Rhinolophus ferrumequinum: one gene and its partners. The protein of the gene in region 1 purifies or fractionates together with the protein of each later gene. This does not show direct contact. Links are inferred from orthologs where the notes say so. Each region holds a gene or a part of one and is shown in the gene's direction. Other genes may lie near its edges.

What was found.
Region 2: the proteins of ZNF830 (region 1) and PPIL2 purify together in Homo sapiens (co-immunoprecipitation; 4 studies listed by BioGRID and IntAct, counting the BioPlex papers as one, with this or other methods). This does not show direct contact. The link is inferred for Rhinolophus ferrumequinum from reciprocal best matches to the Homo sapiens genes ZNF830 and PPIL2.
Region 3: the proteins of ZNF830 (region 1) and PPIE purify together in Homo sapiens (affinity purification with mass spectrometry; 3 studies listed by BioGRID and IntAct, counting the BioPlex papers as one, with this or other methods). This does not show direct contact. The link is inferred for Rhinolophus ferrumequinum from reciprocal best matches to the Homo sapiens genes ZNF830 and PPIE.

The regions. Positions count from the first base shown.
Region 1 is NC_046304.1:22,917,631-22,921,378, forward strand, and holds ZNF830 (zinc finger protein 830), read left to right. Parts: upstream 1-1,168; 5' UTR 1,169-1,217; coding exon 1,218-2,327; 3' UTR 2,328-3,539; downstream 3,540-3,748.
Region 2 is NC_046308.1:23,003,709-23,007,456, reverse strand, and holds the start of PPIL2 (RING-type E3 ubiquitin-protein ligase PPIL2), read left to right. Parts: upstream 1-1,100; 5' UTR 1,101-1,208; coding exon 1,209-1,240; intron 1,241-3,257; coding exon 3,258-3,307; intron 3,308-3,748. UniProt on the Homo sapiens protein: Has a ubiquitin-protein ligase activity acting as an E3 ubiquitin protein ligase or as an ubiquitin-ubiquitin ligase promoting elongation of ubiquitin chains on substrates.
Region 3 is NC_046292.1:27,843,746-27,847,493, forward strand, and holds the start of PPIE (peptidyl-prolyl cis-trans isomerase E), read left to right. Parts: upstream 1-1,029; 5' UTR 1,030-1,517; coding exon 1,518-1,587; intron 1,588-2,036; coding exon 2,037-2,135; intron 2,136-3,199; coding exon 3,200-3,243; intron 3,244-3,713; coding exon 3,714-3,740; intron 3,741-3,748. UniProt on the Homo sapiens protein: Involved in pre-mRNA splicing as component of the spliceosome. Combines RNA-binding and PPIase activities.

The DNA.
Region 1 (3,748 bases):
AATAAATTTAAGAAAATAAAATTATTTCCACTATTGTAATTGGGAAAAGATTTTTAAAAAATCCGTTACTTGAGAGGATTCTTCTCCCATCAATTATTAGTCCCTTTCCCTCAGTATAATCACATATATGTATGCATGTATGGACGTGGGTATATACATAGGTGGACATATACATATTTCGTCTCTACCAAATCTCAAGAACTGAAACTATCTGGGTCATCAGCGTGTTCCCAGCATCCCAGTTAGTACATTAATGCTCTCCTTTAGTGTTAATATTATTTTGCTCATTCCTCGAAGACTCTCTCCTCTTACACCTTTCTGCCCACACTAGTCTCTTTCCGTCACTCTCTTCTAAAGAAAATAATGGTGCTAAATAAATAAATGCTGAAAGGATGAACAGATCTGAAGGCCCTTAGTCAAAGAGTGTTCAAGTAATCTGCCTAAGGACTGACAGCTACCTAGGAGAGGAACTTGGATTTGAACCCATGCCTACCAGGCTCCAAATCCCACGCCCTCTCCACAACACACTGCCAAACAAAACCAAAAGGAAGGACATATAGTATTAAAGAGAAGGGAGTCAGAGGGTTTATGTTCCTTATGAAACACTACATGAACTGACTTTCTAATTGCATATGAACCTTAACGAAAACTGGTGGGGCGCGGGGGGGTGGGGTGGCGGGGTTACAGATTCACTCGTGGAGCGTTCTCCTCGGGAAGGCTTTTCTCCTCCTCCACCATCAGGATAGAGATGACCTCAGGGGAGGAATGAGAAAGAGGGAAACCAGGCCCACAAGTGTGTCCACATTGCTCGAATCTCTTCGCGCAACGTTTGCCTCAGTGCGCGCTGCGACACCCAACAAACTCCAGTCGCCCCAACCGCCGCTCCAACCGCCGTCTCACATTTTCATGGTGCCCTTAGGACCCAAGTTGGTCCGCAGCACATCCTGCAGCCCTCGAGCGGCGCATACATTGACGGCCAAGGCCGCTTGGGCCCGCGCCACCTCAGCCTTGGAGTTTATCGCCTTAATTGCAGACATAACCCGATAGAGGAAGGAGCCACCTAACCGGCAAAAACAGCCTGAGCCGCGATTCTAAGGGCCACCCCGGCGCCACGGCCCACGCTCCGAAACCTCAGCCAATCCCCGACCGGACAGGAAGTGACGTTAACAAACATCGCCGGGACGGAAGCCAGAATCGCCTTGGGGCCGGTCGCAAAGATGGCGTCCTCCGCCTCGGCTCGGTCTTCGGGCGGGAAGCGAGTGGTGAGTCAAGATGAATTGCGGCGGTTGATGAAGGAGAAGCAGCGCCTGAGCACCAACCGGAAACGGATAGACTCTCCACTTGCGAGGTACAACCGTTTGGGGCAGCTGAGTTGTGTGCTGTGTAACACCCCGGTTAAGAGCGAGCTCCTGTGGCCGACGCACGTCCTGGGAAAACAGCACCGAGAGAAAGTAGCCGGACTGAAAGATGCGAAGGAAGCCACAGAGGGGCCATCAACCAGCGCTGTGCCTCAGTCCACCAAGAGGAAGGCGCCGGACGCAGGTGGCCACGATGCCAAAAGAGCGAAGGCCTCCGCGGTGCCGCAGGTGCAGCCCTCCACGTCCGCGGTGCCCACCAACGTTGACAAAACAGGAAAGGAGTCCACTAGAGCCGCTCTCGGTAAGGCTTCGGGACTCGGTTTACTCCCTGATTATGAAGATGAGGAAGAGGAGGAGGAGGAAGGAGGAGAAAAGAAACGGGGGGACGCCAGCAAGCAGCCGCCTGACGCACAGGGCAAGGAACACTCACTTGCTTCCTCCCGGGAGGCAACAAGTAGTATCCTGCCAAGCGATTTCTCGACTGCAAATCCTCCCAAGGCCCCTTTAATTCCTCATTCAGGGTCAATTGAGAAAGCAGAAATACACGAAAAAGTCGTGGAAAGGAGAGAAAACACCGCGGAAGCATTACCAGAAGGGTTTTTTGACGACCCTGAGATAGATGCGAAGGTACGAAAGGTTGATGCCCCAAAGGATCAGATGGACAAAGAGTGGGACGAATTTCAAAAAGCCATGAGACAGGTCAACACTATTTCCGAAGCCATAGTTGCTGAAGAGGATGAGGAGGGACGGTTGGACCGGCAGATTGGGGAGATCGATGAACAGATAGAGTGTTACCGTCGGGTGGAGAACCTGCGGAATCGCCAGGATGAAATAAAAAATAAACTGAAGGAGGTTCTAACCATAAAAGAACTGCAGAAAAAGGAAGAAGAGAATGTTGACAGCGACGATGAGGGAGAACTGCAGGATTTATTGTCTCAGGATTGGAGGGTGAAAGGGGCTTTGTTATAGGGTTTCAAGGACCCAAGATTTCTAACACTCTGCGATTGGATAACAGTGTTTCTCTATTGGTTACTCCATAAAGGTTTGATAACTTGGTTGTTGTGGTATAGTGAGCACTTTGGAAAATTCATGTAAAATGTTTCTGAGGTAAAGTTGTTTTGAAATTTTTGAAGTAAATGCTAAAATGCCAACTTTTTCACATGTTTACGGATTTAAATGTATAATTTTTTGGGTTGGAAAATTTGTGAGCTGTAAATATTGTACATAGTTAAATATATATTGACTTAAGTAATTCTGTTTGTAAATTTATAATGGGAGTAAGACCAACAGGCAGGCATGTAGATGAATACCAAGTGTGGTATTTGGGATGTATATGGCTTTTTCTTTTCTCACCCCCTAAATCAAACTCCAGAGTGGGAGGGGCTTTGCTTTTTTGTTTTTAGAAACATTGTTCATAGATACATAAGTCATTCAGGGCTAATCAGTCCTCTGAGTATTCTGTTTCTGTTTCGAAAACATGCTGCAGGAGAACATGGTGAAAAATAATATGCCAAACAGGACCAGCCTCCTTAACCCAAAATTTCTCTTGATTAAACCAGTGATTCTCAGATGTTGGTGCACGTGAATCACCTATGAAGCTTTTTAAAAATGTGTGTGCCCAAGCCCTACGATTAGAGAGATTTCAGTAAATCTGGAGTGGGGCCCAGGCATCTGTATTAATTTTGAAAGCTTCCCAGTTTATTTTAATTACACCAAAGTTGGAGAGCCACTGCCCTAAATCCAGAACCCATTTATAATTTTTCAGGCTTTGTTTTTTTCTTTACCTAACATGTTCCATAAGTTTACTGTCTAGTGTATAAAATAAATATTACCTTTTTTTAATATTCCATCCAGTCTTAAATTTTATTACTACATTTTGGGGCAAATTAGGGTTCAGAGTTATCAGTTCTGTCTATTGTAGAAAGAATATACAGTAAGTCCTCACTTAACGTCTTTGATATGTTCTTGGAACTGCAGCAAAATGATACAATGAAATGAATTTTACCATAGGTAATTGATATAAACAAGAATTAAATTCCTACAGCATTTCATCAGTGTTATAATGAAAGGATGTTGAACAAAGAAAATGACATTTTTCAAGGACCTGCTATATAAGTTGTTTTCTCAAGGAGTAACAGTTGCCTTTTGCTGGTCATTGATAGTTTAGATCACTCCTTCTCCCTTTGGAGATAGAGGTATTCAAATAGGAAAAAGGGAATTAGCAATGTCTGAACATAGAAATGCATACAGCATATTCAAATAAAAGAGAACAGTAATAATAACACCTAAGACTTACAGGGTTCTTACTAAGGGACTCTAAGAGCTTTGTATAAATTTGGTCTAGTTTCCCTAAAACCCAGGTTTTATGGAGGAGAGTACATAAAGAGATA
Region 2 (3,748 bases), on another chromosome or scaffold:
CACAAAATGCTTGATAACTACTGGACATTAGCAGATATTCACTGAACCTTTGTGTATGCCCCATACCTTGCTTGGGACAGGAGATAATAAATCAAGCAGTTAGGGTTTCTGCCCTTAAGGAGCTTACTACATCCATCCTCGTGTGTGTGTGTGTGTGTGTGTGTGTGTGAGTAAACCAGTGCATAGGTCAAATTCATACAGATTACAAGTTGTGATAAGCCCTACGGGAACTGAGATGGAGATGTATGAGGTGGGTGGTCAGAGAAGGTCTCTGAGGAGGTGACATTTATGTTGAAACCTAGAAATGAGGAGCCAGCTGCCAGCTATGAGGTGAGAAAGGCAAGGACAACTGGCTTTGGGTCACTAGGTGGATAGTGGTACCATTGTGGGGAGTAAGGGAATGGAGAATTCTGCTTTGACGAGACACATTAAATTTGAGGTCAGTGGGTTCCCGAGTAGAGGTCAGGAATCTGGAGCGCTGGTATATTAGTGTTGGGAGTCAAATGGTATTTAAAGCCACTAGCCTGGGGAAGATCAACCAGTGCTTGTGTGTAGACAGAGGTCCAGGGCGTAGGCTGGGGCACACAACATAGTGATCTGATTGAGGTAAGGGTTCTCTGAAGAGACAGAAGGGATCAGGGAGGGCTTTTGACCTTCAGGCTTGATGGCCACCTGCCCCTAGGCCGCTCAAGAGAAGGCCCTGGAGGCGGTAGGAATGGTATAGGTGGAGAGAACTGGGAGGTGAGTGTGTTGACAGCAAATGTGGACGTCGCTTTGGAGGCCTCTGCCACGGAAGGGAGCAGAGATGGGGCAAAGGCTGGTGGGACTTAAGGCTCCAGGCTGACTTTTATTTAAAAGACCTGAGAACCCAGGTCAAACCAGGGCGGGTTTTGAGTAGGGATGGCACTGATTGGAGCTGGACCGGTAGGCGAGGCGCTCCGGAGAGAGACCCCCGAAGAATATGGGGCTTCGAGGTGGAGGCAGCTCAGCCCGGACAAAACGGAAGTCTAACTCGGAACTCAGTCCACCGGCCGCCGCGCCCGCGAACGGACGTGCTTGGCGCCAGGGACCACAGTTCTCCGCGAGCGGAGGGCCCGCTTCCGGGACGGGACCCGGAAGTGGTTATGGAGCTCCGCTGAGACACAGCGGACTGAGTTGTCTGTTGTTTTTCTGCGCTCCCTGCTCCTGCCACTGCCTCTGCCGCCGCCATGGGGAAGCGACAGCATCAGAAGGACAAGATGTAAGTTGAGCCTCAGCCGGCAGCGGGGCCCCACTCTGCCTCAGTCTTCGCCTGTCCCGCACTCAGCGCCGCCCCCTTTCTCTCTCAGAGCTGGTCCCCAGGGTCCCTCTCTGATGTCGTTTCCTCCAGGACACCTCCGCTTCTTCCCCAGCCGCCGAGGTCTCTCGAAATCCCGGCTCTAATATACCGTAGGTGTCCTCACCTGAGTGCGGCCCTCCCACCGCTTCGGCGCCGCGCGGGCACCGTCCCTTCGACTAAGCTTTTGTCCCGGACCGCCCGCCTGTCCACTCGCGAGTTCTGCTCCCGAATTAATTCCTCTCTCTTCACCTCCAGTCTCTCGCTGTGTGCTGGTTCGCGGCGATCAGCCTACACACATGCTACAGAATCTCCCCGTTTAAAACAAACTAACCTTGCCCGTATTCCCTTCCAGTTGCCACCATGTTTCTTACGTGAAAGACCTGTGTCTACTTGCTGTTTTCTGCTGTCTCTTGAAACCACTCCAGTCAGGCTTTCGCCCCTTAGGACTCTTGTCAGGATCGCAGTAACTTCTATGTTGCTAAATCTAGTGGTCAATTCTCAGTCCTCTCTTTGTGGACCTTGTCAACAGCAGTTGCCCACCCCTCTCCTTTGGAAGCCCATCTTTGGTATCTGCTCTTTATTTTCTTTCTTTCTTTTTTTTTTAATTATTCCGTATTTTATTATTTCTAAAGTATCTAGTGATCAATTTTGGAAAAATGCATAATTGTTTTTTTAAAAATTTATTGGGGTGACAATTGTTAGTAAAATTACACAGATTTCAGGTGTACAATTCTGTATTACATCATCTATAAATCCCATTGTGTGTTCACCACCCAGAGTCAGTTCTCCTTCCATCACCATATATTTGATCCCCCTTACCCTCATCTCCTACCCCCCACCCCCCTTACCCTCTGGTAACCACTAAACGATTGTCTGTCTATGAGTTGTTTTTTTTTTTTTCAGTCTACCTCAGTGGCTTCTCTTTTCTCAGTCTCCTGTGCTGGATCCTGCTCCCCTCTCCAAGAACTCATAGGTCGACATCCCCCAGGTTTCGTCTCCGTTTACATTCTCCCTGGGTGATCTCTCCAGTCTTGCAGTAGTCAGCTGCTTACTCCACATCTCCACTTGGAGGTGTGATAGGCGTCTCAAATTTAATATGCCCCAAACTCTTGATTTTCAGCGCCAGAGCCTGCCCCCTCCCCCATCTTCCCTATCTCAGTGGTCACATAGCTACTCAGTTTGCTCAGGTCAGAAGTCTGGGAGTTAGCCTTGGTTGCCTCTTTCCCTCAGCTCGCTCTTCCTCTAGTCCATCTTAAGTCCTGCTGGCTCTTCCAGGAACTGACCACTCTTGTCCACCAATTTCCATGTAGGTGGAGTTTATGCCAACTCCTTCCTGGACCGTTGTAGTCACTGGATTTCTGCTGCCTCTTTTGCTTGTCCTTCTACACGCAGCTGTCAGTGATGCTTTGAGGAAGGATGGTAGATCATATCAAGGCCCTGCCCCAAACCTTCCAACAGCTTTCCGTCCCACAAATCCAGTCCTTACATGGCCTGCCAGGCCCCCTGTGATCAGACCACTGTGACGTGTTTCTTTGCTGCCACATGCCCCCAATGCACACTCTTTTTCAGTGACTTTGCCCTTGTTTGGGAACACAACAGCTTTCTGTGCCTCGGGGCTTTTATGCATGCTAGGCCTGCTTGCTCCCTCTGCCTGGAAAGCTCTTTCCCCACATCTTTACAGGGCTAGCTCCTTCTCATCACCAACCCGCCTATTAGTTTTAGTTCATTTCCTTCAGAGCAAAGCACTGTTTGTTTACCAATTTGTTTACCAATTTGTATATCCCCATGTCTGTTGTGTTTATCATTGTGTGCCTGACATAGAGTAGGTGTTTAATAGGCATTTGCTGAATGATTGAAATGCTGCAGTTATCCATTACTTCCAGAAACTCTGTCCTCTCTATAAAGAGGATGGTAGTACGATTCTCTCTCTCTTCTTCAGGTACATTACCTGTGCTGAATACACTCACTTTTATGGTGGCAAAAAACCAGGTAAGGCATAAAATCCTTCTGTTCCCCTCAGTATGTGTGGGGGTGTAATTAAAAAATGACATCTTCACTATACAATGAACCTGTAAAAATGAACAATTAACAAGAATATGGAAACTGGTAGAGACAAATGGGCTGTGGACACAGAAAATTCAGAAAAGAGGAAATACACTAAACATATGAGAAACGGTTTAATTTTAGTGGTGGGTTTTTTGTTTTGTTTTTTTAACATGGGTTAAAATAACATTCTTTTCTCTATCAATTTAATACAAGCAGGCATACCTTGCCTTACTGTGCTTTGCAGATATTGCGTTTTTGAGCAAGTCTGTGGGTGCCATTTTTCCAACAGCATTTGTTCACTCCCTGTGTCTGTGTCACATTTTGGTGATTCTCACAATAATTTAAACTTTTTCATTATTGTATTTGTTATGGTGATCTGTGATC
Region 3 (3,748 bases), on another chromosome or scaffold:
AATCCATTCTGGGCACAGTGGTCAGGGAGAGCCCATTTTAGAACATAAATATGACCATGAACTTCTCATTACAACCTCTGGTAGCTTCTCAAAGCCCCCAAATCCTCCACATGGCTTACAGGGCCCTGCAGGGTGTGGCCCTTTCCCACCTTTCCTGCCTGATTTCATATCCCCCACCATGTGGCCTTTCAGTTCCTTGATTGTGCAGAAGCTGTCTCCTCTCCCTGAAATCCTTTTCCCAGTGCCCTCCTCTCTCTGGCTCCTCTTCCTTCAGATTTCAGCTTAAATGTGACCTCAGGGAGGTCTTAATCCACTGCTCTAAAATAGGTGGCCCTGTTGTTTTCTACCACACGTCAATCTGTGATTTATGCTTTAGTTGGTTTATTCCAAGAGTCCGCACGCTTTTTTCCTGACGAGCCAGGTGGTAAATACCGAGTATTTTAGGCCTTGCAGGCCGTTACGTCTCCTGCCTGTGTAGCGTGAAAGCAGCCACAGACAATACTTAAGGAATGAGCATGGCTGTGTTCCCATAAAAGTTTATTTATGGGCACTGAAAATTGAATTTCATACCTCTTCACGTGTCAAGAGATAGTCTTGCTTTAATTTTTTTCCCAACTATTTAAAGATGTAAAAACCATTCCTAGCTCACAGGTTGCCCGAAAATAGGCGGCCGGGGGAGGCCGGCGGACCGCAGTTTATTTGTAGCAGTTTATTATTTGAGGACTCCGCCTGATTCCGACCAGACTTCTTTCCAGCAGCACTGAGCCCCGGCGGCACCTGGACCAGGGAGCTTCCCCCTAAACGCTTATCTCAGGTAGCGCGGGAAGCGGGGTGTGCCCTGGCAGGAGTGGGCGGGGTCTGCAAGCGCCGAGACGCGAGGGCGGAGCGGAGGGGCGGGGCCGTGGGCGAGGTGGGTGGGCCCAACGCCGGCTTCCGGAGGGACTGCCGGGAGCAAGATGGCCACTACGAAGCGTGTGCTGTACGTGGGTGAGCAGGCGCAGGCGCTAGGCGCGGGCTGGGCGAATCCGATCCAGTTGGGGCCAGGCGCGGGATCCGAGGCGAAGGGCGGCGAGCAGCTGTCCAGGCGGCACCTATGGCTTTACTGCTATGCTTCAGGATGTTAGCCCGAAACGTAGAGATCTTGCCGGCTCCCTTCCAAGTCTGCTGAGCTCTAACAGGAACCTCTTCGCCTCCTGGGCCCGGAGGATTGGTAGAGGAATATTATGGGCCTCCAAATCCTCGCGCCCACTCATTTTACAAACATTCATTTGCAGCGATGGCTCAGTCCTGGCCCCGGCCCTAAAGGAGGGGATTGCCAGACTAGCCAGGTAGAAGTGAGAATAATCTCAGTCAGCACGGTTTGATTAAGCGCTTTGATAGGGACGGACAATGATGACATGGGGCTGGGTGCGGGGAGAAATGATGCTTCCATCTGAAGAGGTAAGAACAAACTTTCAGGATGCGGTGACTCCGGAGCTGATGAGCCGGAGCTAGCCAGGTAGCCAAAGTAGAGGCAAATGTGTTTACGGAAGAGGAGCAGCAAGAGCAGAAGCCAGCGGTGTGAAATAGTCTTACTTGTGGGGGCAGGTGGGTCATTTTGCGGGAAACCCATGGAATTGGGGAAGCAGAGGGAAAGAGGCTGAAGAAGTGGGCAGGGCTCCGGTTAGGAAGAGCCTGCTGAGGAGTTTGTACCTTATCCTGAGGCCAGTGGGAAACTTCTGAAGGAGTTTAAACAGTTAATTGATGGGTTAAAATCGGCACCTTCCCAGGATCATTCTAATTGGCTGTGTGGAGGAGAGGGAGATCAGTTAGTAAGTCATTGTAGTAATTCTAGGTCTAGATGAGGATCTGCAAGAAGGGTAGAGAGAGCAGTGTGTTTCATAAGTATTGATGAGGGAGCAGATGAGAGGGGTGCTTATACCCAAAGTCCTGGATGGAATGACCCCTCCCCTTGGCTATAGCATGCTAACTAGGCTGCAGGGACTTCTTAAGAGAATGAAGGACAGTGACTCAGAAGGCCCTTGATGTCTTTGCAGGTGGACTTGCAGAGGAGGTGGACGACAAAGTTCTTCATGCTGCTTTTATTCCTTTCGGAGACATCACAGATATTCAGATTCCTCTGGATTATGAAACAGGTGAGTCCTTTAGTGTCTCTCATGTTCAGAATCCTCCTACTAGGAAAACAACTTTTTAAAAAATTTTAAAGTCATATCATAGTGCATTCCAAATATGGTTAGTATGTAGGAAAGTTCCGGTGAGTGCCTCAGTAGGGCAGCATGGCAGCCATTTTGATGCCGAAGGAATATTCTGAGGCTTGTGTTTGTGAACTGTCACATAAGTTTGCAGAGTCCCACCTGTTGGCTTTGAGATAACACAAAATTTTCAGTAGCCCAATAGGAAGACAGGTTTTGAGCTACATGGGGATCCTTGCTGGTTACCCCACCACACGTGCTCCCTTCTTGGCAGCTGTGCTATTAAACAGGGCAGCAGGAAACCCAAACCCAACACTGGGACCTTGGCCTCTGCACCTGGATAAGTTTTTCTACAATAGGTATCACAGTTCAGTTTTCTATTTTACCTTTGTTGGTCATTTTTAACATTGGAGTTTTAGGCCCAGCTCTATCATTGACCCTGTATGATTGTTAGCAATGTCTTTAAAATCTCTGGGCCTGGGATCTTTATCTGTAAAAAATCGTAAGTTATATTCGTTCTCTAAGGTTAGTTGGTTAATTTAATTAAATTAAAACTTCTGTGCTTGGCCTTTTTAGGTAGGTCAGCATATTCCTGAGGATAAAGACTGAGCAGCCTTATCTTATCTTCAGGATTCATGCTTTATGCACAGTTGATGCTCAAAATGTATATTTGTATTGAATAATTGAGAGAATAAATGATGTATTTTTTTCTAATTGCCTTGCATGCAAAGCTTAAGGTTTTAATTTGGCTTTGGTAGAAGAATTGAATGCTTAAAGATTAAAAGTGTAGTTTATTATTTAGCTATATTCACTAAAAAACGTTTAATATTGCTTGAAATCTTGTTTAAACTAGGAAGAGTCAAAGAATGAGAGTCCAAATAGTGATTGGGTGAATTTCTAGTGTCTGGATATGGTATGTGACTAACTTTACTTTTCTTGTGACCATCTGTTTCTTCCCATTGCCCCACGTGGAAATTACTTGTTTGTGTTTTCCTTTTTATTTTTAGAAAAGCACCGAGGATTTGCTTTTGTTGAATTTGAGTTGGCAGAGGTGAGAAAATTCTTTGTTACCTATGTTTCTTCTTTGGCTTGTGTTAGTGTTCTTACTGATTACAAAAGGAGCTGTTCTCCAGTTGGTTAGGTTTCTGGGCCTCATGCTGATGCTACCAGGGAGACAAGAAGTGCTGTTTGAAGAAAAACTTCCCTCACTTTATCAAACTATAGACTGTGGTTAGCATCCCAGACCTGCCAGGTCCTGCCCCTCTTGGTCTGCAGAACTCCTGCAGGCCTGCTCCTAGAGCATTCTTGCCTGACAGCACTGGTAATTCTCTTACGCCTTCCACTAGATGGCCAACTGCTGTACCACCAGCTCTAAAGTCAGCCAGGAAGTGCTCTGTGTTAGATGCATATGCAACCTAGACAAGAAGTGTAGGGGTGACTCTGTCCTGTTTTCTTTTTCCTACTGACTATTTGTTTAGCTACCACAGGAAGCTAAACTTGTACCGTGTCTTTTCTTGGCAGGATGCTGCAGCAGCTATCGACAACATGGTATGTCT